Elephas maximus indicus: one gene and its partner. The protein of the gene in region 1 purifies or fractionates together with the protein of each later gene. This does not show direct contact. Links are inferred from orthologs where the notes say so. Each region holds a gene or a part of one and is shown in the gene's direction. Other genes may lie near its edges.

The links. Proteins that work in one complex are often made in the same cells at the same time.
Region 2: the proteins of TBPL1 (region 1) and GTF2A1 purify together in Homo sapiens (affinity purification with mass spectrometry; 5 studies listed by BioGRID and IntAct, counting the BioPlex papers as one, with this or other methods). This does not show direct contact. The link is inferred for Elephas maximus indicus from reciprocal best matches to the Homo sapiens genes TBPL1 and GTF2A1.

What each region holds. Positions count from the first base shown.
Region 1 is NC_064819.1:203,376,216-203,386,900, forward strand, and holds the start of TBPL1 (TATA box-binding protein-like 1), read left to right. Parts: upstream 1-5,556; 5' UTR 5,557-5,723; coding exon 5,724-5,845; intron 5,846-10,685. UniProt on the Homo sapiens protein: Part of a specialized transcription system that mediates the transcription of most ribosomal proteins through the 5'-TCT-3' motif which is a core promoter element at these genes. Seems to also mediate the transcription of NF1. Does not bind the TATA box.
Region 2 is NC_064828.1:94,357,107-94,367,719, reverse strand, and holds the start of GTF2A1 (transcription initiation factor IIA subunit 1), read left to right. Parts: upstream 1-5,495; 5' UTR 5,496-5,941; coding exon 5,942-5,971; intron 5,972-10,031; coding exon 10,032-10,133; intron 10,134-10,613. UniProt on the Homo sapiens protein: TFIIA is a component of the transcription machinery of RNA polymerase II and plays an important role in transcriptional activation. TFIIA in a complex with TBP mediates transcriptional activity.

The sequences.
Region 1 (10,685 bases):
ATACTCAGATCCCTTTCCAGTGGCAGGAGAAAACTCAAACTCACCTCTAGACATTGAATCTAGCTTCAAATTTTAGGATATTTGTGTGTTATCAATCTTGATCAGGGCCAGATGTTGCTAAATCATGAATAATAAATTTATTTCCAATGCACCAATATACAAAAAAAAAAAAAATACAACAAGGGAGAGGGAAATGGAATAACGAAAACTCATGAGAAAAGGCATAAAGGATAAGCAACATACAGTGGTTGTGAGCAAACGCTATATAATGTTGGATGAGGGTAATAAGGACTCCACTTCTCCAGCAGAGGACTAAGACATTTTGTCACTTAAAGTGCCAAAATTTCCTTCGTCCATTGCCCTCCAAGATCTTGCCTTAGAGAGACAGTGAGAAGGAATTACCTTCTCAGGAATACACTGACAGTCTAAATCACCTTTCTATAGGTTTTTTTTTTTATAGGTATGGAGACTGGACGCTGCCTTTGAGACAGCACAACAGTAGGTGCCTCTTGCCAGGCTGTGGACTTTTTGGCAATACCTTAAAACTTTAGTTGGCTGCCAATGTCATTTAGGGAGAAATCATTAACTTGTTATCAGACATCTCTTTGAGTCACAAGTTTTGAATATGCACCCTGCCCTCCCAGTTTCTATCTCTTGGAAACAGGCCTGGCAACTCCTTCCATCTACCTAGATCTCAGTTAAATGGCTTTTGCCATTGACTCTATCTGAGGGCAGTAGGTAGGAACAGGCTGGAGTTATGAAGCGAAGTTAATCAGACTCCATCCCTTTAGTTGTACACCACTCAACTGGCATAATGGGAGTTATTTTTTCCCTTTTTCAGTTGGGAAGGGGCAATGATTTTTTTTTTTTTTTTTTTTAAGGGGCATAGCAGATGTTGGGGAAGATTCCTTGGGAATGAGGCATCCCTGATCGCATGGTTATCCTGGGTCTCTGTATTCCTAGTTAGTGCTTTAACTTTTGGTGGGGCAGAAAATTTAGTTATTTCAATTGGCAGAAGAGATATTATCTGATCCTTATCAGTCCAAGATAAATAACCATTGGCAGAAAAGACCCATCTAACAATGCTGTATAATTTTTGCTCCATATTACCCATCTCTGGAAGGCCATGCTGAACTATAGTTTGATTATTTCATAGCACTGAAGTAGGCAAGAAGTAGCCAACATATTCCAGTAGCCTGATTTTCTTTTTTCCCAAGTTCCCTAAAGCTACAGCTTTGTTGGTATAACAAGTAATAATCTACCAGTGCCTCTCCAACTACCTGTGATAAAGAATCAGTTTGTTTGTGTAAAAATGGCATGAGGGTGGGGTCAGAACTCCTTGTGTAATTTCGAGGGGAAAAGAGAATCAAGATCAGTCCAAAGCTGATTCCTGTGAGGTGGTCAGACATACCTCCTCTCTCCAATCTTTTTGACAAATTCTGACACCAGCCTTCCCTCCCACGGCACTCTACTTCTCTGCTGGTTTTGATAATTCATTGCAATGGCTACACAGAACTCGTAGACTATATTTATGATTAAGGGGTTTTTTAGGGAAGTAATAGGTTACAATTCAGGATAAGGAATGACTCAGGATACACTTCTTTGATCAGGGCAGGATTTCTCAGCTATGCGCCCGCAGGCAGCCCTCTTTCTGGTTTTTGGCCTCTCAGACTCTTGGCCTGGCCTCTGCCCTGCTCAGGGAAGTGTTACAAACTGCTTTAGCTCTGCCAATAAGTGCCCAAAGGCATCCTGCTCCACCAGTAAGCCTCAGCCCTAAGGCGCTCAGCTGTTTTGCTCTGTGGGGCTGCACACCCACTGTAGCCGCCTCGCTCCATGGGCTGGGAAGCCCATTGCACTGTCTCCTGATTCTGCTGCTGCCATTTCTCTGCCAATGGACTCTGCAGTGCTTGCCACAGCTTCTTGCCATCTCCAGTGTTACAACTATGTCTCCTGGGTCTAAGAGGTTCTCAGCGCAGGGACCCTGGGTCCAAAGGATGTGCTTCACTCAGCTCCTCTTCTTGGTGGCAGTAAGATCACCTTCTCTCAGCTACTGGGATTGGCTCCCTTTAAGTCTAGTGGGATGGCAAAACTAACCAATCCCCTCATTAGGGTTCCATATACCTGATTTGCATTATTAGCAAGCTTTCCAATCCCCTCGGTGGGCCACAAGCACCTTATTTGCATAGTCCCACCCAAACATTTTGTGGGAGTTACAAAGACCGTGCATGGCTAGAAGGGCTGTATTAAGTAATTCACTGCACCACAGTTTGTTTGTTTTTAATTACCAACCCATCACAGATAAATGCTTTCATAAGATACAAAACTGCATGCTTAAATGATGCTGCAATGTGAAATTGTTAAGCTTCAAAATGCTCCCCTCAATTTCTCTATTTCATTGTTGACCAGTGCAGTTTGAAGACTGGCTTTGGTCTGTACATCACATTTTCAGTAGCACTGTTCGAATCTATAAACCAAAATCCCAAACCTATTGCTGTTGAGTAGATTCTGACTCATGGCGATCCCATGCATTACAGAGGTTACAGAGTAGAACAGCTCCATGGAGTTTTCTCAGCTGCAATCCCTATGAAAGCAGATTGCTAGGGTTTTCCTCCATGGTGCTGCTGGGTGGGTTCTAACCAACAACCTTCAGGTTAGTAGGACTTTTTGCACCACCCAGGGACCTAATCAATAAAGCTTGCTTATTTTCCCAAACTGGGATGGATTGCTTTTCACTGTACCCACCCCACCTTGACTAAGCCAGTAGTACATTTTAGGGTCTGACAATTGCAATTCCCCATTTCCAGGTATCAGTCTTCACATTAATCAAGAGTCTTGGTTCAGAATGTATATTGCGTATTCTAATCCTACAGAGTGTTGTCTCTCAGCTGGGCCCTGATTAACGAGGCACATTATAAGACCAATGAAGCCCATGGTTTTGTCCCATTGTCTTACTTCTTTCACTGCGAAATGAATTCCTTGGTCAGAGGGATATTTTACGGGATAATGTGATAGTCTATAACCATTCAATAAGTCCATTCAGAGCAGAGCTGGCAGCAAAACAAAATCCAATTCCAGAATAAGGAACTATCATAGTGAGGCAAACTGTTGATCCACACACGACAAAAGGGAGTCCAGAGTAATTGACATGCTTGATGCCAGGTAACTTGTTGGTCTCCTTGAGGGAGGGTACCTCATAAGGATCTTAGAATTGGTCACTGCTGGTATAACATTGAATGTTCAGCAGTGGCAACAGCCACTGGAACAGAGCCTTTTCCATGCCACTTCCTTTGTAAACTAGGCCATTTACTCTTCAGTTTAAAATTCTTCACTTCCCCTAGAATTTGGAAGAAAAGCCAAACTATTTATATGGCCTAAAAAATGTTGTAGGCTTCTCTCTAACTTCATCTCATGCCGCTTCACTCAAGGTGCCCCAACCACACCCAGACTCCAGCACAGCAAGCTCTTAGGACATTCTGTTCCTTCTGCCTAGAACACTACATGTACATACCTCCCAGCCCATCTTTTTTTAGATTTGGGCTGAAATGTTACCTCCTAAAAGTCCTCTCCCCACTACAGCATAGACATTATTTTCTAACACTGCCTCTTGTTTATTTGCTTCCGAACACCTAATACATGTTGCCATTGAGTAGATTCCGACTCACAGCGACCCTATAAATCAGACTAGAACTGCCCCACAGGATTTCCAAGGAGCGGCTGGTGGATTCGAACTGCAGACCTTTTGGTTAGCAAGAGTGCTTAACCACTGTACCACCAGGGCTCCTAATATAACCTATAACTATTTAATATTCAAACCAATGTACCTGGTGGTACTTGGTTATCGGCTGCTAACCAGAGGTGAGGACTTGGGACCCAGCAGATGCTCCCCAGAAGGGTCACTATGAGTCTGGAGGCGAGTTTAGTTGGGTGTTTGGTATTCAAACAATAGGAGCTCTGGTGGCTCAAAGGCTAAGCACTTGGCTGCTAACAGAAAGGTCATGCTTGGAACCCACCCAGCTCCTCCGTGGGAGAAAAGACCTGGAGATTAGCTGTAAAGATTACAGTCTAGAAAACCCTACGGGGCAGGTCTATTCTGTCACAAGGCTTCACTACAGTCAAAATCCACTAGACAGCACACAACAACATTCAAACAGTAAGTTACTACAGAAATGGAAACAAAATGGAAATGCCACCATTCTATGTTTTAAAATGCATGGATATTTTTCTGAACACTCAGCGTGCAAAGCAAAAAGATCAAGCGGCCATCCTTGGCGAATCTGTAAAGAATTACATACTCAAATGGCTGTGTACTCCGAAATCTCCCAGAATTCAGCTCACATTTTCTCTTTCAAAAGAACAATGGCATGATTTTTCAACCTCAATTCACACCAGAGTCCAGGCACCCATGAAGTCTGCCTCGTGGCCTTTTAATAATTAAATCGGGGCTGCCCATTGGCTTCACCTAAAGGCTCCTGAAACGAGGCTGCTGAATGGACTCAGGCTTGGGATCAAGGCCCAAGCGGACTGGCCTGGGAGTTGGGGGTCTCGGGGTTCGCGCGCGCGCAACCCTTTCGGGCCGTTAGGCGGGTCTCGGCCCGCGGGCAGCACCTCTCAGGCCACTCCGGAGGAGTCCCAAGGCCTCGTTTGGTTCCCAGCCTGGCGGTTCAAACTGGCAAGACTACACCCCTACGCGTTCTCCCCGAGTGATTCCAGGGCGCAGAGCCGCGTAAGGGCCTCAATCCTGGACGCCCAGCTTCCATGTGAGCACCCTCCTACTCCGGACGGCCTGAGCAGCCCGACCGCTTCTCCTGCCTGCTGGCCTCTCCTCTCTCCAGCCCAACCTGCAGCCGCCCTCTGCCACCTCCCTTCCCGCCCCCATCTGGCTACCGGTGTAAAAGGCTCTGAAGTGCCTCCTGGCGCCGAGGGAGACCTGACCGCAAACCGAAGTTCCGTAAGGAATACTGAAGGGGCAGGCGGCAAAAATGTGGCAGAAGTTCCCTGCATTATCCACCCATCTACCTATCCATCCTTCTATCCCCTATCACTGGTTTCAGGACTAGGATTAGAATTCCGTAGTGAGATTTTTATCGCGACGTCGTAAATGAACGCATTTAAATTGAAAAAAATTAAAAAGTTTTTCAGACAGAAAACAAGTCTCATTTAGTTGTTCAGGACTAACTTTACCAATTATGTTGAATGGTGAACCTTTTCTGTAAGTTGAACAAGCAAAGGGAAAATTCTAAGGCTTTGACGACAAAATTAAAGCCGGTTTATAACATATTGTACGGCAGAAATTAAGTACATATGTTTAGGTATCAATTAAAAATCTACAAGGGAGACAGTTTTTTTCAGAATCTTTTAAAGCAGCTCTCAAGCAAAAAATAAAAGTCCAGCCCACTGCCCTAGAGCGCCCCCCCAACCCGTGCCTGGCCAAGCTCTAGGGCAGGAAGGGTCTGGCTCGGTGACCAGCAAGGAGGAAGGCAGAGTGGAAGGGGAGGGAGAAAGTGACGGGAACAGTGAGAGCCGGAAATGTGTGGCTAGCGAGGAACCGAGTAGCGCCCAGTCCGGCGGCGCTCTAGCCTTCGTGCGCGTCTCTATGCTCCCCCGCGTCTCCTCTATTTATTGTCGCGGGGAAGCAGCGGCTGCCCTGTACCCGGAACAACAAAGCCCGAAAGACGGAGCCCGAGCCTCAGGGGCTCCTAGCAACCGGCCGGGGCGGGAGTTCCATGGAGACTGGGGAGCGCGCCCGCCTCATCATCATCCTTGTCCTCCAGCTTATCCTTCGCGTCCGACGTTACCGGCAGCAGCGCTGCCGCCGCGTCCTCTGCCGCAGCCCCCTCTTCCCACGGTAACCCCGTCGGCGACCCTTGGCGGGGGTGGGGGGGTGCGGCGGAGCGGCCTGAGTGCCGGGTGCTGGGCTGCGGGGCGCGGGGCGCGGGGCCGGCGTGCGAGCCGGGGCGGTGTTCGGGTGAGGCATGCGGGGGCAACGGACTGGACGGGAGGAGCTGGGGTGGGGGAAATCAGTCGGCGAGCCCCGGGAGGGTCGGCTTCCTACGAGGACGGGGCGCTACTGGGGAATCCCTTTAGGGATAACGGGGTGGGGGTGGGGCCTTACCGGCTGGGAGCGTTATCTAGCCGGTGCGGTGCGAGAAGAGAGGCGTTTTATTTTTCTGTTAACCACAACCGGGAAAGACAGGGGAAGGGAGAGTCCCGACTGTCTGCGGAGCCCTCCTCACTCAGGAGGGACCGTGTAAAGATGCTGGGGGTCCTTTGCTTCTCAGGAAACTTCCAGCGGCCTCTCTGCCTCGGCGGGAAGGCTTCCGAATAGCAGCTTCGTCGGTTCCTGGTTCTGGCGATACCAGCAGCCCCACTTGATTATTATATTTTTAAAAACAAAATCGGGTTTGACGAAGAAGAATCTGGAACTGGGGAAGATAAAATAAGTTGTAGGTAGGGCTAAGCAGGGTTGAGGGTCGGGAAAAGCGCTTAGTAATAGTCCCAAAAGTAAATCTAATAGAGAAGGACGAATTTTAGAAATTGCTCCTTCTGCCGAGATGTGCATCTGCAGATTTTGAGCGTGATTACTGCTGTAAGACTCCAAGTGCATCCAGTCCACATCTGTGAGCTGTCTGACTGCATCTGTCACCTGCAGTTCTAAAGCCTCACTGGCTTTAACTAGTGTGTTCGTGTAGAGTTAAATAAAAAAAAAAAAAGTGCCTTAAAATTAGTGGTTCAAGAAAAGGGAACAGACTTGGTGTGATTTTTGTGTGAAGAAGCAATGACAGGTTCCCTCGGAAAACTGAAAAAGAGAAGACTGTTCAGGCATCCTGGCATAATCTACAGTTTTTGAAAGTTTGAGAAAAAGGGTAGTTCATTCAAACCTAGAAAGGACTTTTATCACTATTTGGTTTAAAGAGTTATTCACAGTTTGATATTTACAGTTAAGGTCTCATCAGTTTCTGCTATTTCTTTTAAGCCTTACATCACAAACTGCTTAATGGTTTTATACTTTTCAAAGCCATTCTAGGTCAGTAAATGAGGTTAGTTATATGTGGGATACTGAAAAGGGCACATATACATACCACAGTAACACCATTTTTTGTGTTCAACGGGAACAAAGCTCTTTATATAAAGTTAAAAGTTAAGGATGAAAACAAAATGAATAAATCATGTAAGCAATCATGTCAGTAACAGCTTATGGTTGCCTCCTACCTCTTTTCGTAAGCCTGACTGCTCTTAAGCAAAAATGTGTCATCCTTACCCCAGCCCTCTCTTTTAGTACTTTCTGCCATCAAAATCAGTATCAGAAATTGTAAGACTGCTAATATGTGCCCTTGATTGGTTGACTGATTTCTTGAGTGAGAGAATACAGAGTTTTAAACTCAGGCAAATTCATTTTAAGCTTTTTTAATCTCACACTGAGATCTATGCAAAGAGGTGGGCAGTTTCCTTTAACAGGGGTGGGAAGTGTGACCATTGGGAGCCTTAAAATTGCCTGAGACTCTTAAGAGGAAAAACCCAGTATTGTCATTTTTGGAGTAAGCCCTGGTGGCACAGTGGTTAAAAGCTCAGGCTGCTAACCAAAAGGTCGGCAGTTCGAATCCACCAGCTGCTCTTTGGAAACCTATGGGACAGTTCTACTCTGTCTTACAGGGTATCTTTGAGGCAGGACTCGGAAACCCTGGTGGCATAGTGGTTAAGTGCTATGGCTGCTAACCAAGAGGTTGGCAGTTCACATCCACCAGGCACTCCTTGGAAACTCTATGGGGCAGTTCTACTCTGTCCTATAGGGTCGCTATGAGTCGGAATCGACTCGACGGCAGTGGGTTTGGTTTTTGGTTTTTATGAGGCGGGATCACCTCGATGGCAATGGGTTTGGTTTTGTTTTTTGGTTTAGTTGCTTAGTCTAATAGCTGTTCTTCTGTGAAGGATATACTGAGGGATGCCCACCCTGAGGCTGTTGGATGTTGGGTCACAGGATTTTCATAGTGCTTATGAGACTGCCAACAGATACTGCCATCAAACTCACTTCACCTAGACTTTATCTCCTATTGCCTCTTTGCCTTCTGTGTTTGAGTGGGAGTCAAGCCCCTAGCTTCCGCCTTTGTTAACAGCCCAGTTTGTGCTCTGCCTGCTCTCCGCCCCAACACTTCCAATGTTTGGTGTTGTCTTAGTTCCTCTCCTTACTTAACTGTGTCCCAGTCAAAATAATTTTTTATGCTATTTTCTTTCGGAGTTTTCAACATATGTCCTTGGCCTGTATATACTTTTCATTAATGTTACTTTGTTGCATTTCCATCTGTATCTCTCCCCTTTATTTGGAGAATTGGATTGGTCATGTCAGATGTTCTGTGTTCGTTCTGAATAGCTGTTGGTTGTGCAGTACAACAAGCAAGAGCCTTATCCTGAGAATCAAGAGATTGTATTGAAATAAGACATGCAAAAATATTGAACTTTTCAGAATGAATGGGTTTTTAGAAGTCCAAGTTAATACTAAAACTAGTGTTAACACTGTAGTTGTAAATATACCTTTTTAAAGGTGAAAGTATTATAAAGCCTGCTGTGTGTTTTAGGTTGAACCATAGATTTTTGTAATTTGTGTTAAAAAAAAAATCATTCTTTTTTGTTCATTTTGCAGCTGAAAAATTACTTTGTCAAATTTGAGGGAACTATTTTAAGTTATTTCCACAATATATGTGAAAATTCTCACATCAAAATTTATGAATGTATACATATATGGAACATGCAGAATTTACTGTAAAGTAGGATAAATACATATGAAACATCCACAGCTGAATATATTTGGAGACTATTATTTCTTACGGATGTGAGACAGTATTTAAAAATCAGCAGGTAATTGTATGATCTAGTTGACTGTGTCAGTGCTATATTCAGGTGAGGGAGGCCAGTAATAACCTGGGGGTTGATTTCCTTCTGTTGCATCATAGATCATGGGATGAAAGTATTGTTATGAAAAACAAAGTTTAAATTGATTTAGAGGAATTTATTTTTATGGTAGAATGTTTTCACTATGTCTTAGTCAAAACCTGTAGTGTTTTGAAAATTTAGCTGTATTGTGACGTTTAAAGTACTAAAGATTTCCTGAAATTATATTCTTATTTGTTGCACCTTTCATATGCGTGATACCATATCAGGTGTACAAAGCTGGTTGAAAGGCGCTTCTCTTCAGATGCTTCTTGTGCACTTGTAGATAGCAGAGAAATGACATTATATACGGGTAACAAAATAGGACACAATTTTGAATTTGAGATCCTTTATTACATACTGCCTGGTACTGAACTTATTGCTGTGTATCATCTTAATTTCGACATGCCTGCTGAATTAGAAGGCCCTCGAGGACCAGGACTGTGAGTTGCCATCATGTTCTTGTGTATGTGTGTGTTTTGAAGTTTAAGGTGTTAATAGATTATATATGTGGATGTGTGTGTATCTATATGTATCTATGTATTTCACTTCAGGAGAATCGATAAAGAGGGCCTTAACCAGTAGACTGAGGGGAACCTTTTTGAAATCTAATTCTTGATGCCTAAAATTTCAACTTCTGATCCTGGCTGTAGGGATGGAAGTTATAAACAGCAAAAATTCTTCAAATGTGATTAGGTCTTGTTCTTAACCAATTCAGAACAGTAAAAATAATGGCTTACCACTTAAGGAGGTTTCAAATGTGTGATGCCAAAAAAAAAACAAACCCAACACATTGCTGTTGAGTCGATTCTGACTCATAGTGATCCTATAGGACAGAGTAGAACTGCCCCATAGGGCTTCCAAGGCAGTAAATCTTTACAGAAGCTGATTGCCGCATCTTCCTTCTGTGGAGCTGCTGGTAGGTTTGAACCGCTGACTGGTTAGCAGATCAGGACTTAACCACTGTGCCACCAGAGCTCCTTCAAACAGGTAACAGATTATGTAAACAAAGTTTTTGCGGTCTACATAGACAAATTTAATTTTCGTCCTGTGATACAACCAACCTTTTATTCAGAAGAGAGAGGGAGTGTGTGTGAAAAAGCAGGATTCCGAAAGTGTGTCATTGTTGTCGGATGCTGTCGAGTTGGTTCCATCTGACAGAGTAGAACTGCCTCATAGGGTTTCCTAGGCTGTAATTTTTACAGGAGCAGGTTGCCAGGCCTTTCTCCCATGGAGCCGCTGGGTGGGTTTGAACTGCCAACTTTTCGTTTAGCAGCCGACTGCTTAACTATTGTATCACTAAAGGACTCCTTTATCCTAGGACTAAAAGGTAATAAAATTCCTAATTTGATTTTTAATGGCTGATTTTTGTGTTGGGAAGCATGCTGCTGGGAACTCTTATTAAATGTCAAGAAAACATTTTAAGGTGAATTCTGAAACTGTTCAAAATCAGTCTTCATATGGGAGTCAATATGACACTTCAAAATTTCACAAAAAATGCTGCACAAAAGTTTGGCCATTGGCTACTTTCACCATGGAGAAAGAATACTAAAAATCAGAAGGTCTGTTAACGGCAGTTTTCTGAGGACACACGTGAATGGCTTTAGTACTGGATTGTGCCTAGCATGGTGGACAACTGTCCGTAGACATTGGTCCATGGAATTTTTTTTTTTTTTTTAAGCGCATTTGGTGTTGACTTCCAACATCCTAAAAGTAGTTAAAAAAAAAAAAAAAATTCCCATTAACTAAATGGTTCCAAAGAA
Region 2 (10,613 bases), on another chromosome or scaffold:
CTTAGACCTAGAGAGTTCATACTCTTGAGTACTTGCTATCCTACTATCCCCTTCTTTTTACTGTATGCTGTTTCTTCTAATTTATTGTGCAATGACATTGCCACAGGCACAACTGATTTTTCTATCTACATAAAAAAGTGGGAGTTATACCACTAGTCCAACAGGTAAAAGAGAAAGAATTCCCCTTCCCAATTTTCTACTACTATAAATGGCCATCCTACATTTTCTTGTTTTATGAAAATATTTAATATGTAATTATAAAGCTAGGCCAAAATGTTTTGATTATACAGAATATGGCTAGAAAATAACTGTTCTTGCCAAATTCAATAATTGAGTACATGCTATTTGGAAAAGGAAAATGATGATTTTATACTGATGTAGCAACACTGAAATCAGTTATCTGAGATGATTTAGTAAATGCTTTTTGATGATATTTTTATGAGGGCGATTATATTTAATTGGGGTAAAGTTTCTCTTCTTCAAGTCTCAAATGTGCATACTGTAGGGTTGCTCTTCTGCCAAATGAAGTTTAACCCATGATATCATTAACACGTATTGGAAAAACTCAAGAACAATATTATCTGATTCAAACCCTTCACATTCTCTTGGACCAAGAGCTTTTCCTCTATAAGACAGGTAGAAAGAACCTTAAATTTGTATCACTACGATTTCACCAGTAAATAGCAATATGAGCTTGGATTAAGTCACTACTTAACCTGAGTCTCAGTTTCCTATTCATAAAAAAGGGATAATATTACTTATCTCAAAGGACTGTTACAAGCTCTAAAGGAGATAATTTGGGATTAAAGTTTTTTAAAAACCAAAGGCTGCCAAATAAGTCCATCATCATTATTACTGCTTCTCAGTTAGGCAGGGAACACAAAATGGCAAATTTCTTGGTCTTTTAAAAAGCAATTTTTTTTTTTTTTGGTTTATTTAAATGTTCATTCTTTTTGCTTCTGGCTATGCCACTTTTTTTTTTTTTTTTTTTTTTTGAAGAGCAAGCCAAAAACATTAGCCCAGAGTCTTGGTTCTCAAGAAAGTATTTGGATCACACCCGATTTTCTCACAGTTACCCTTGTGAAAGCAAAGTCCAGCCCACAGTATTTAAGCAGATTCCGTACTTCCATTCTGGCCTGAAATCTCTAATAATCTTCCTGCCACGTTTTGTTTTATAATCTCTGTTACCTCTACTTATTAATCCATACTACCAGAGAACGGTAGGTTCTGGAAAAGAATGCAAACCAGCCTATTTAGTTTCAGTAATAATTAGTTGATTAACTACAGATTTATCTGCTATGATGTATTTTATTAGAAAGTTGTCTATGCAGAATTGTCTGTCATATCAGAAGCCTCTATCAAGTTGAAGGCATACAAGCGAGAAGATAAAGGCAGCAAATAAATCAAAGATCATTTGGCCACTAGAAGAATATTTTTTATAAAACTATCTGAACAAGCATCCTGTAAATTTAACCATTTTTAACTGTCCCAAATCACAGTTGTTTAACTTGTGATTCAAGATGAGGCAAAAATAGCTGAGATATAAGAATCAGAGAAAGAGGAAACCCATGTAATTAAACACAGTGTTTAATATTAATTACATTTATAACACAACACCAGGCCTTCTTGGGAATACTGATGACAAGCTGTGTGAATAAAGAACCATCACTGATTGTAAAATAATGTGTCACTGGGCTCCCTTTAGCATTTTTTTAAATACAGAATTTCAAACGTATGTAAAAACAGGTTGAATAGTCTAATAAACCCCAATGTACCTGTTATAGGTGCTCTGGTGGCACAGTGCTTAAACGCTTGGCTGCCAGCTGAAAGTTTAGTGGTTTGAACCCACCAGCCACTCCTACCGGAGAAAGATGTGGCAGTCTGCTTCTGTAAAGATTTATAGCCCTGGAAACCCTGTGGGGAAGTTCTGCTCTGTCCTACAGCGTCGCTATGAGTTGGAATTGATGGGTTTGGTTATGGGTACCCGTTATGGGTTGAATTGTCTCCCCCAAACATGTATTGAAGTCCAGGCCCCTAAACTGAAAACAAACAAACCCGTTGGTGTCAATTTCAGCTCAAGTGGCCCCATGTGTTACAGACTAGAACTGCTCCATAGCGTTCTCTTGACTGTAACCTTTGACAGAGCACAAGGCTTTTCTTCTGTAGCGCCTGCTAACCTTTAGGTTAGCAGCCAAGTGTTAACTGTTTGTTGTGCCACGCAAACAACAACAAAAAACCAAAATCTGTTCTGTTTTGCCCTGGCGTACATTCTGATGCATAGCGACCCCATAGGACAGAGTAGAAATGCCTCACAGGGTTTCCAAGGCTGTAATCTTTACGGAAACCGGAAGCCAACTGCCACATCTGCTGGGAGGTTCAAGCCACCTTTCGTTTGGCAACCAAGCTCCTAACAACTGCCACCCAGGGCCCTTGAAATAGGGTTTTTGTTATGCTAATTAGGTCATACCCAGTAGGTTGGGCTCTAAATTTACTCATTTCTGAGTTAGGAAAAAAAGCAGAGCGGATGAAGACACATAAAAGGAGAAGAGAAAAACAGAGGAGACACATGCAGCCACAAGGACTTCTGGCAGCTACTAGAAGCTGAAAGACAAGGAAGGACTGCCCCTAGAGCCACACTCTGAATTTGGACTTGTAGCCACCTGAACTGTGAGAAAATAAATTTCTGTTCTTTAAAGTTTTTGTTATGGCAGCACCAGGTAACTCAGATAGTACTCTTCCTCAGCTTCAACCATTACACACTCATGGCCAAACTTGCCTCATTAATACTCCATCTATGTCTCTGCTTTTGTGTTATTTTGAAGCAAATTCAAGTCTCATTATTTTGTTTTTCAGTACACATTTTTGAAAGAGAGGGTATTTTAAAGTAGAACTATTATCAAACTTAAAAATTTATCAGTAACTTTAATTTCACTAAATATCCAGGAGCTGTTCAGTTTCCAATAGTTTCATAATTGTCATCATTTTCTTTTACAGTTTATTTGAAGCAGGATCCAAATAAGGTCCACTCATTGTGACTGACTGATAGGTCTCTTTGCTGTTGTTAGTAGCCTTTCACTCACAGCGACCCCATGCACAATGGAACGAAATGCTGCCAGGTCCCTGCCATCCCCACGATCAGTTGTGGATAAGACTGTTATTTATGATCCACAGGGTTTTCAGTGGCTGATCTTCAGAAGTAGATCTCGAGGCCTTTTTTCAGGAAGCTCTGCTGAAATCTGTTCAGCATCCTAGCAACACGCAAACCACCACAGATGAGTGGTGGCTGGTCATCAAGTGCATCAGCCAGGAATTGAATCTGGGTCTCCCACATGGAAGACAAGAATTCTACCATGGAACTACTAACGTCACCTGTGTCCCCGATCAATCCTCCCCAATTGTGATCAAGTTGTCTCTGACTCCAACTCATGGCAACCCCCCGTGTGTCAGAGTAGAACCGTACTCCTTAGCATTTTCGATGGTTGATTTTTCGATGTAGATCACCAAGTCTTTCTTCCCAAGCATTTCTGCGAGGACTCCAACAGCCAACCTTTAGATTAGCAGCCGAGCACGTTAACCATTTGCACTGCTGTGGAGAGCAAATCTCGTGGATTATCCCCATCTCCTGTATGCAAGTAGTCTTAATCTAAACCGATTGCAAAACATTTGTTCATTAACAATACCAAGTCGTAGGGAGGAAAAGAAGATGAAAGATGAGAGATGGCACGTGCAGAGTTGGGGGTGTGCATATATGGAGGTAACACGTTCTCTTAAAATAATATGCAGTGAAACTTACTGGAAATTGTTTTGTATAATCTTTCTGGTTGTCACCTGAACATTAAGTGAATTATGAGTGTTGATGGGATCATAATTTATACAATATTCCAAAAATAGTATGGTTTTCTGTGTATTTTTAAGGTCCCAAATCAGGCAGCTGGGCAGTCAACTGTGAAGCGACGGAGTGGTAAGAGCAAAGTGGGTAATCAGATGGTATTAGAAGAAATCTCAAGGTTTTTGCCTAGTCACAAACTCATTCCATAATCTCCCATTTCTGAGTCTTAATGGCCTTAGTTTTCTCTAATCCCTTCCTTCGGATCCGGGGAGGCTGCATTTTTTCCTCCCTCTTGGTAGGGTGCCTTTGGTAGTCATTTAAACCTGGTTGCACCAGCATATAACTTCTGGCATTTTTTTTGTTTGCACTTTGAGGATAAACTCCCTCATTGCTTCAGATTACACGTTTGTCAAAATGCCTTAAGAAAAAAAAAAACCCAAACCCACCGCCGTCCAGTGGATTCGGACTCATAGCGACCCTAAAGAACAAAGTAGAACTGCCCCATAACGTTTCCAAGGAGCGCCTGGTGGATTCCCACTGCCGACCGTTTGGTTAGCAAATGTAGCTCTTAACTACTACGCCACCAGGGTTTCCATCAAAACACCTAGAGACAAGAAAATTAAGTACTGCGAGGTCTGCTCTCTAAACAGGACATTCTCTGTCCCGCGTGAAATGTTGATATAAAAGCAGAATTTGCTTGGGCAAATGTGGGAAAAACCTGTTGAATTGCACTCCAAGACATGGGCATTTTCTGCTCGCTCTCACAGCGAGACGCCACGAGAGTTGGTGGGTCAAGGGCATGCATTTCAGATATGATTAGTCACTACGTGCTGGCCATATGGAGCCGCAATATTTAAAAAATCAGGAAAAGTTATTGTACTTCCTTATTCCAGTGATGGTGTTCCGTTTCGTTTTTGGCATTTCCACGAGCGTGAGAAGTTATTTAAAGTACGTCAACTAATAATGGCCGAAGCTTTGGGAACTCCGTCACCGGCCTCAATACGGTGACAAACGGCTCGGCGGTTTCAGATTACTGCTTCTGGAACACGAAAACATAGGCCCAAATCAGCCTTCAGCCCCTTCAGAAACAACCGAGAGAAGGTCCACACTCAGTGAGAAGCGCTAACACGGCGCAGCTTGCAGTGTGATCTCAGTTCACGCCGGGAGAGATGACTCCGCACTTAAAACTGCCCCAGGTCGGACCTCGACACGGGCCGGTACAGAACACGTGACCGGCCCTCCTCCGCGGCCATGCCTGTGTAGGCTGCTGCCACCGCCCCTGTCACATTCGGAGCTCCTCCAGCACGGGGCGGCGCGGAAACGTCTGCCACGAGGCAGAACAAGCCAGCTTTAGATACCCGTGTTACTAGAATTCGCGCCTTTCCCACAAGTGTTTTGCAAGTTTCTCAACCCAAATGGGCTTCCGAAGACTTCCGCCTGAGTGCCAACCACGTGATCACGCGATACTTGGAGAAGCCACAGCCCCACTTCACTACTCCTGTCCCCGGGCTCCGCCCGCCCAGCACTCTCCACGGCGCGTGACGACGCGGCCCGCGGCGGCCTCCGCCCCGGCGCGCCTGCGCACGCGGCTCTCGCGGTGTCTCGCGCTCGGCCCCGCCCACCTCTGCCCCCGCCCTTTCCGTCCCTCCCTCCCCCTCCGCCCTGTCTCTCGGCGGAGCGGCGGCGGCGGCGGCTCGCGCAGCGCGTTGGCTCGCTATATAAAGGGGAGAAGCGGGCGGACCGGACGGCTGGAGCTGCAGCCGGTGGCAGCAGCGGCGGCGCGGGGAGCGGCGACCGGTGGTGGTTTCCCTCCTTCGCGCGGGGTGGGGAGCGGGCAACGCCCCCCGGACCCCCGGAGGGTCTTGGTTTTTTTTTTTTTTTTTTTTCTGGGGGAAGGCGGTTCTCGAGGTTTTTAGCCCCGGGAGGAGTGCCCCCCCGCTCCTCTCTCCGCTCCCCTCTCTACACCTTCGGGATCCGATTTTACAATTTTTCCCAGTCGTGCGGTGGCTCGGGTCACCTCCGGGTGTTTTGGTTTTGCTTTTTCTTTTTTGATTTTGTTTTTACCTTGTTTTCTCGGGGTTCACCCCCCTCTTATTTGTGTTGTGTGTGGAAATGGCGAACTCGGCAAACACAAACACCGTGGTAAGGACGTGGTTCGGTGGCCGGCGGGGGCTTCATGCAGGCGGCAGCAACGGCCGGACCGGGCGGGGGCGGGGACGGCGGCGACACCCGGCCTCGACTCTCCTCAGCCGCCCGCGCGGCCGCCGCCGCTTCCCGCCTCGGGCGGACCGGGCCGGGCGCCGGGCGCGGGCGCGGGGGGGCGCCGAGGGCTCGCGCGGCGGCGGCGGCGGCGGCGGCGGGAGGGGGCGGCGGCGGGGCCTGGGGCGGGCCGGGCCGCGGAGGCGGTTGGCCGGGGCGAGCGCGCGGCCCGGCCCCAGACCCCGGCGCCGGGAGGGAGGAGGGGAGCCGCCGCCTCCCCCGAAGTGGGCCCGTCCGAGCTCGACGAGGGCTCCCCGAGCACCTCAAAACAAAAACCGTGTCTGGGGAATTGGGCCAGCCCCAAGCCCCGCCGCGGTCCACTTGAATGCAGTGGAAGGCTGATGCCACTTCGGGGGCTAGTCTGGGTTTTCCTGGCTTAGGCTTTGGGACCCTTCATTGGGGCCATTTTATGTCTAAGGAAAACGGACGAAGGTTGAAAAGTACTTATCTCGGTTCCTTCCGAATCGGTAAAATGGCGAAGGGGAAGCAAAACCCCCATCGGATCTCCGACTAGCAAAAGCACCAAAACAAACAAAAAAAAGCCTACAGTGGTCAAAGTGCCCCTGCTTTCGCCTTAAAATTTGCCTCCTTCTCCCCCGTTTGCCCATTTTTTGGTTACTTGCGATCACGTAGGTTTGCAAAAAGCAGTCACATAAAAAACCTTTTCAGTCCCCAACGCAATGTGATCACTAGTCCCCCCGACTCTCTTATTTTTATTGTGCCAATAAAACACGTCTTTGCCCGGTCCCGAATGCCGCAGACCAGCCCGCGGCCGCCCGACACCGTACCGTTGGCGACTCGGGTCGATCCATCATGGCTGCGGCCGCTTAGCCTGCTTTTCAGTCCCTGAGCCTTGTGGTCCTCCTCCCTTTGGCTGCCCTGTTTATATAGAGCCATTGCCGCTCTCTAATATAGACTCTGCCAGGATGGGAAGGTGCTTTTCAGGCCTACGTCACCGCCTCTCCATTTAAACACCAGATCCGGCTTTAAATAGTGAGAGCTGCTGCGAGCAGGGCTGGGAGGTTCGTGCTCCCGAGGCGAGAGGCTGGCGTGTGTAGAGCTCAATTTATTCCTGGGTCCTTTTCTTAACGCTGTAATCTCGCCCCTCAGGGGGGCTGCTTTCAGAGCCTCAGATGTTTTGATGCTGCAGCTAGGGTTTGCTTTCTTTGGTTTGCCAGGGGAAAACATTCCGAATTACTATCCCTTCTATTTTTATTTATTTTTTTTAAAGAGAAATTTTAAGTAACAGGGTTTAATCCTATTTCTTGTACTGGAAGGTGTGTACCTTATTGTCGGGAATTTAAAAATGCTGTCTATATTAAGTGTCAGCTGCAGAGGACTTGATTTGGGAAGGGATAATTTTATCAAGTATTCAGGAAACTTAGAAATCTAGCTCCTGATATTTCATATTTTTTTATTGTTTCAATATGTTTTCTGCTAATATCTGAAGACAGAAAGCTTTTCAGAGGTCATAGATAAGTGGCTAAAGCTTTACCTTAGGATTTTTTCTCCACGGTAAATTTATGTGTAGGGGAATTGTGAGTCACGAATGAGGAGATTTAGTGCAAACTGGATTTTAAAATTAAAAATCTAAGTAGATTCCCTGTATTGCATTGGATGATAACATGGTATCCAGTATAAAATTAATCCAGTTTATTTTCCAATGTTGCTGTGCATTCTGGGTTTAAAATTCTTTTAATTGCTATAATATGGATGTTTTTGTCAGAAGTATATAACTTGAATCATTTTGTATGCCCAAGGAACCTTCTAAGACTTTTGAAAGGAACCTTCTAATTAATCACTTGGTAGTGTCACTAATTGCCCTCTAATTTACCAGTTTTTAAGTTTGGAATATCTCCTAAATTGCCTTGCATTAAGTGCAAGAAACACTTTGGCTCAAGTAAAGTTTAGAATTTTAAGTAATGGCCTGGATATTGCTCCACAGGGTCTCTATGAGTTGGAATTGAATCGAAGGCAATGGGTTTGGTTTGATTTTGGTTTTATATCACATAGTGCCTGTGCGCCCATGTACTTTAAAATAAAGCATCAATATTTTGAGGACTTTTCAACTCACGAGCAATTTTCCTAAGTTGTTATTTGTGTATATACTTCATGAAGAATACATATTTCCCTTCCTATTTTAAGTGTTCAAGTCATAGGTTCATTTAATGTAGAAAAGGAAAGCCTTAAGACAAGATTGATTAATTAAATTGCGAGTACCAGAAGATAGCGTATTTCTGTCTGTAAATGTCTGTATCTTTAAGCAAAAGATTTTTAGGGTTAACGGACTTCAGGAACACCAAAACATCTCATTTGCTGGCAAAATAATTTGTATTGTCAATTTGAGATTTATGCTACAAATTTAAGAATACCTGCTTCCTTTATAGTGCCTCGAGGGGGTCATTATTGGTTAAAAAAAAAACCCCACTTTATCCATGTAGTTTTGTAATTCAGTAGATAAATCAATGTAGGTATAGATGATACCCGTAATCAGATACACTTCCCTTGTAAGTAGAATCGGAATGCTAAAATAAGGAGGCATTGTTGAGATGTACATTTTACGGATAAATCATTTTTAAGTTCACAAAGGCAAATTTGGCAAAATGACAAAGCCAGTTAGTGATTGGCATAGCAAGGGTGAGAACTTAGAGAAATAAATGGTTTTTCTGGTTGTCATGAGAAGAAATGAATGGTTTTTAATGGCAGATGCGAGTTGTGCTAACAAACTCAGTACATGTTTTTTGTCAGACAAGAGTACATTTTTCTTTGAGGGTTCCCCTGTGATAACAATATTGCAGGTAGAAATGCTACTGAAACATTTATTTCTCTTTGAAGTTTGCTTATGAGAGCAAATCCTTGGCTTTATTGGGCAGCCAATAACTTTCACCTTAAACGAGGTATAAAATAAAAATAATGACAAATAATTTTAAGAAAGAAATGTTAACCATATGTGTATGTGATAATAACAAGGCACCTCTAGTTTTACCAGTCTGGCTGCAAACTTCCTTTTGTCTAACATGTTAAAAATAGGATGTGGGTTGGGCTAATTGTTCTACGTCTCACCTTTTAGTTTTTAAAAAATATGTTTGAAAGTGGTTTTCATAGACACTCGCATTTTATCCTGGCAATCTTCTAGAAGCCAGCTGCCAAGTACCAACAATAATAGTAATAATAATACCAAGCAATGTAGTACCAACAATAATATCCACCAAATAATACTAGCCATAATAGTAATAATAAATTTTGGGAGGTCCTGGGAAAGAGATCAGTATAACTGGTTCGTCTCGGACGTTGAGACCTATCGTTGTGGATATGGGAACAATTTAATGATAGAACTTTAAGATACAGAGTGGGTCACAGGAACAGAAATTAGGTGATTTTTGAACTTCAATCCTCATTAGGTTCCAGATTTATTACCAGGGAAATGACTACAGGATATACACACACACACCTGTTGTCAAGTTGATGCCGACTCATAGTGACCCTAAAGGACGGTAGAACTGCCCCATAGGGTTTCCAGGGAGCACCTGGTAGATTCAAACTGCTGATCTTTTAGTTAGTAGCCGTAGTTCTTAACTACTACACCACCAGGGTTTCCTAAGCTTCTTTAAAAATCTAAGACTTAGTGACAAGGTTGTGAGATAAAACAGGGTTCACACCAAGCAGGGAATAATAGAAGCTAGACATAAGCAACCCATAAAGCTATTATCGAGCATCACATTAGGTGTTTTGACTACAGGAGAGGAAATTATAACTGGAAATTGTGTGGACCTCGTATGTATAAGGGCATTCGGCTTATGAATTGCACTAAATAATTTAAACATTTATAAATTTTAGGTCATTTTTAAAATGACTAATTTGTCTTGAGTTTGTGAAAACCTACTATGCATTTTAATATATAAAAAATAGTCTTTTTCAGCAGTCTTTCATTTTTCTTTCGAAGCCTAAGTTATACAGATCTGTGATTGAAGACGTTATTAATGATGTGAGAGACATATTTCTGGATGATGGAGTAGATGAACAAGTCCTGATGGAATTGAAAACTGTGAGTTGGCTTTTTTTAAAAAAAAAATTCATGCATTTTTATCAAAACATTCTTTTTTCTAGAGACTAATCCATACTTTTTCCATAGCATGAGTGTCTGACTTTGATGCAAGAGACAGCATTGTTTAGTGAAGGATGCTGGCTTTGGTGCACAAATAATTGGTTTCAAATTCTGACTCTATCATCTATTTCTCTCACCTTGGGAAAGCTATTTCCATTTTTCAATTTTCTTATCTGTAAGATGAGAACTAGTAGTATTTACCTTATAGGGTTGTTTAGACGATTAAATGCAATAGCCGTAGAAAAATGCTTAGTGCAGTGTTTGGCAAAAACATGAGCTATTATTGGGTGATTAACATTCTGCTTTATGGTCAGGTTACTTGATGTGCCTGTAACAGTTTTTTTTTTTTTTTTAATAGTGTTAATGCATTTGCATTCTAAAGTGTGTTTTAAGTTGTGGGGATTGAATAAATGCTTGATA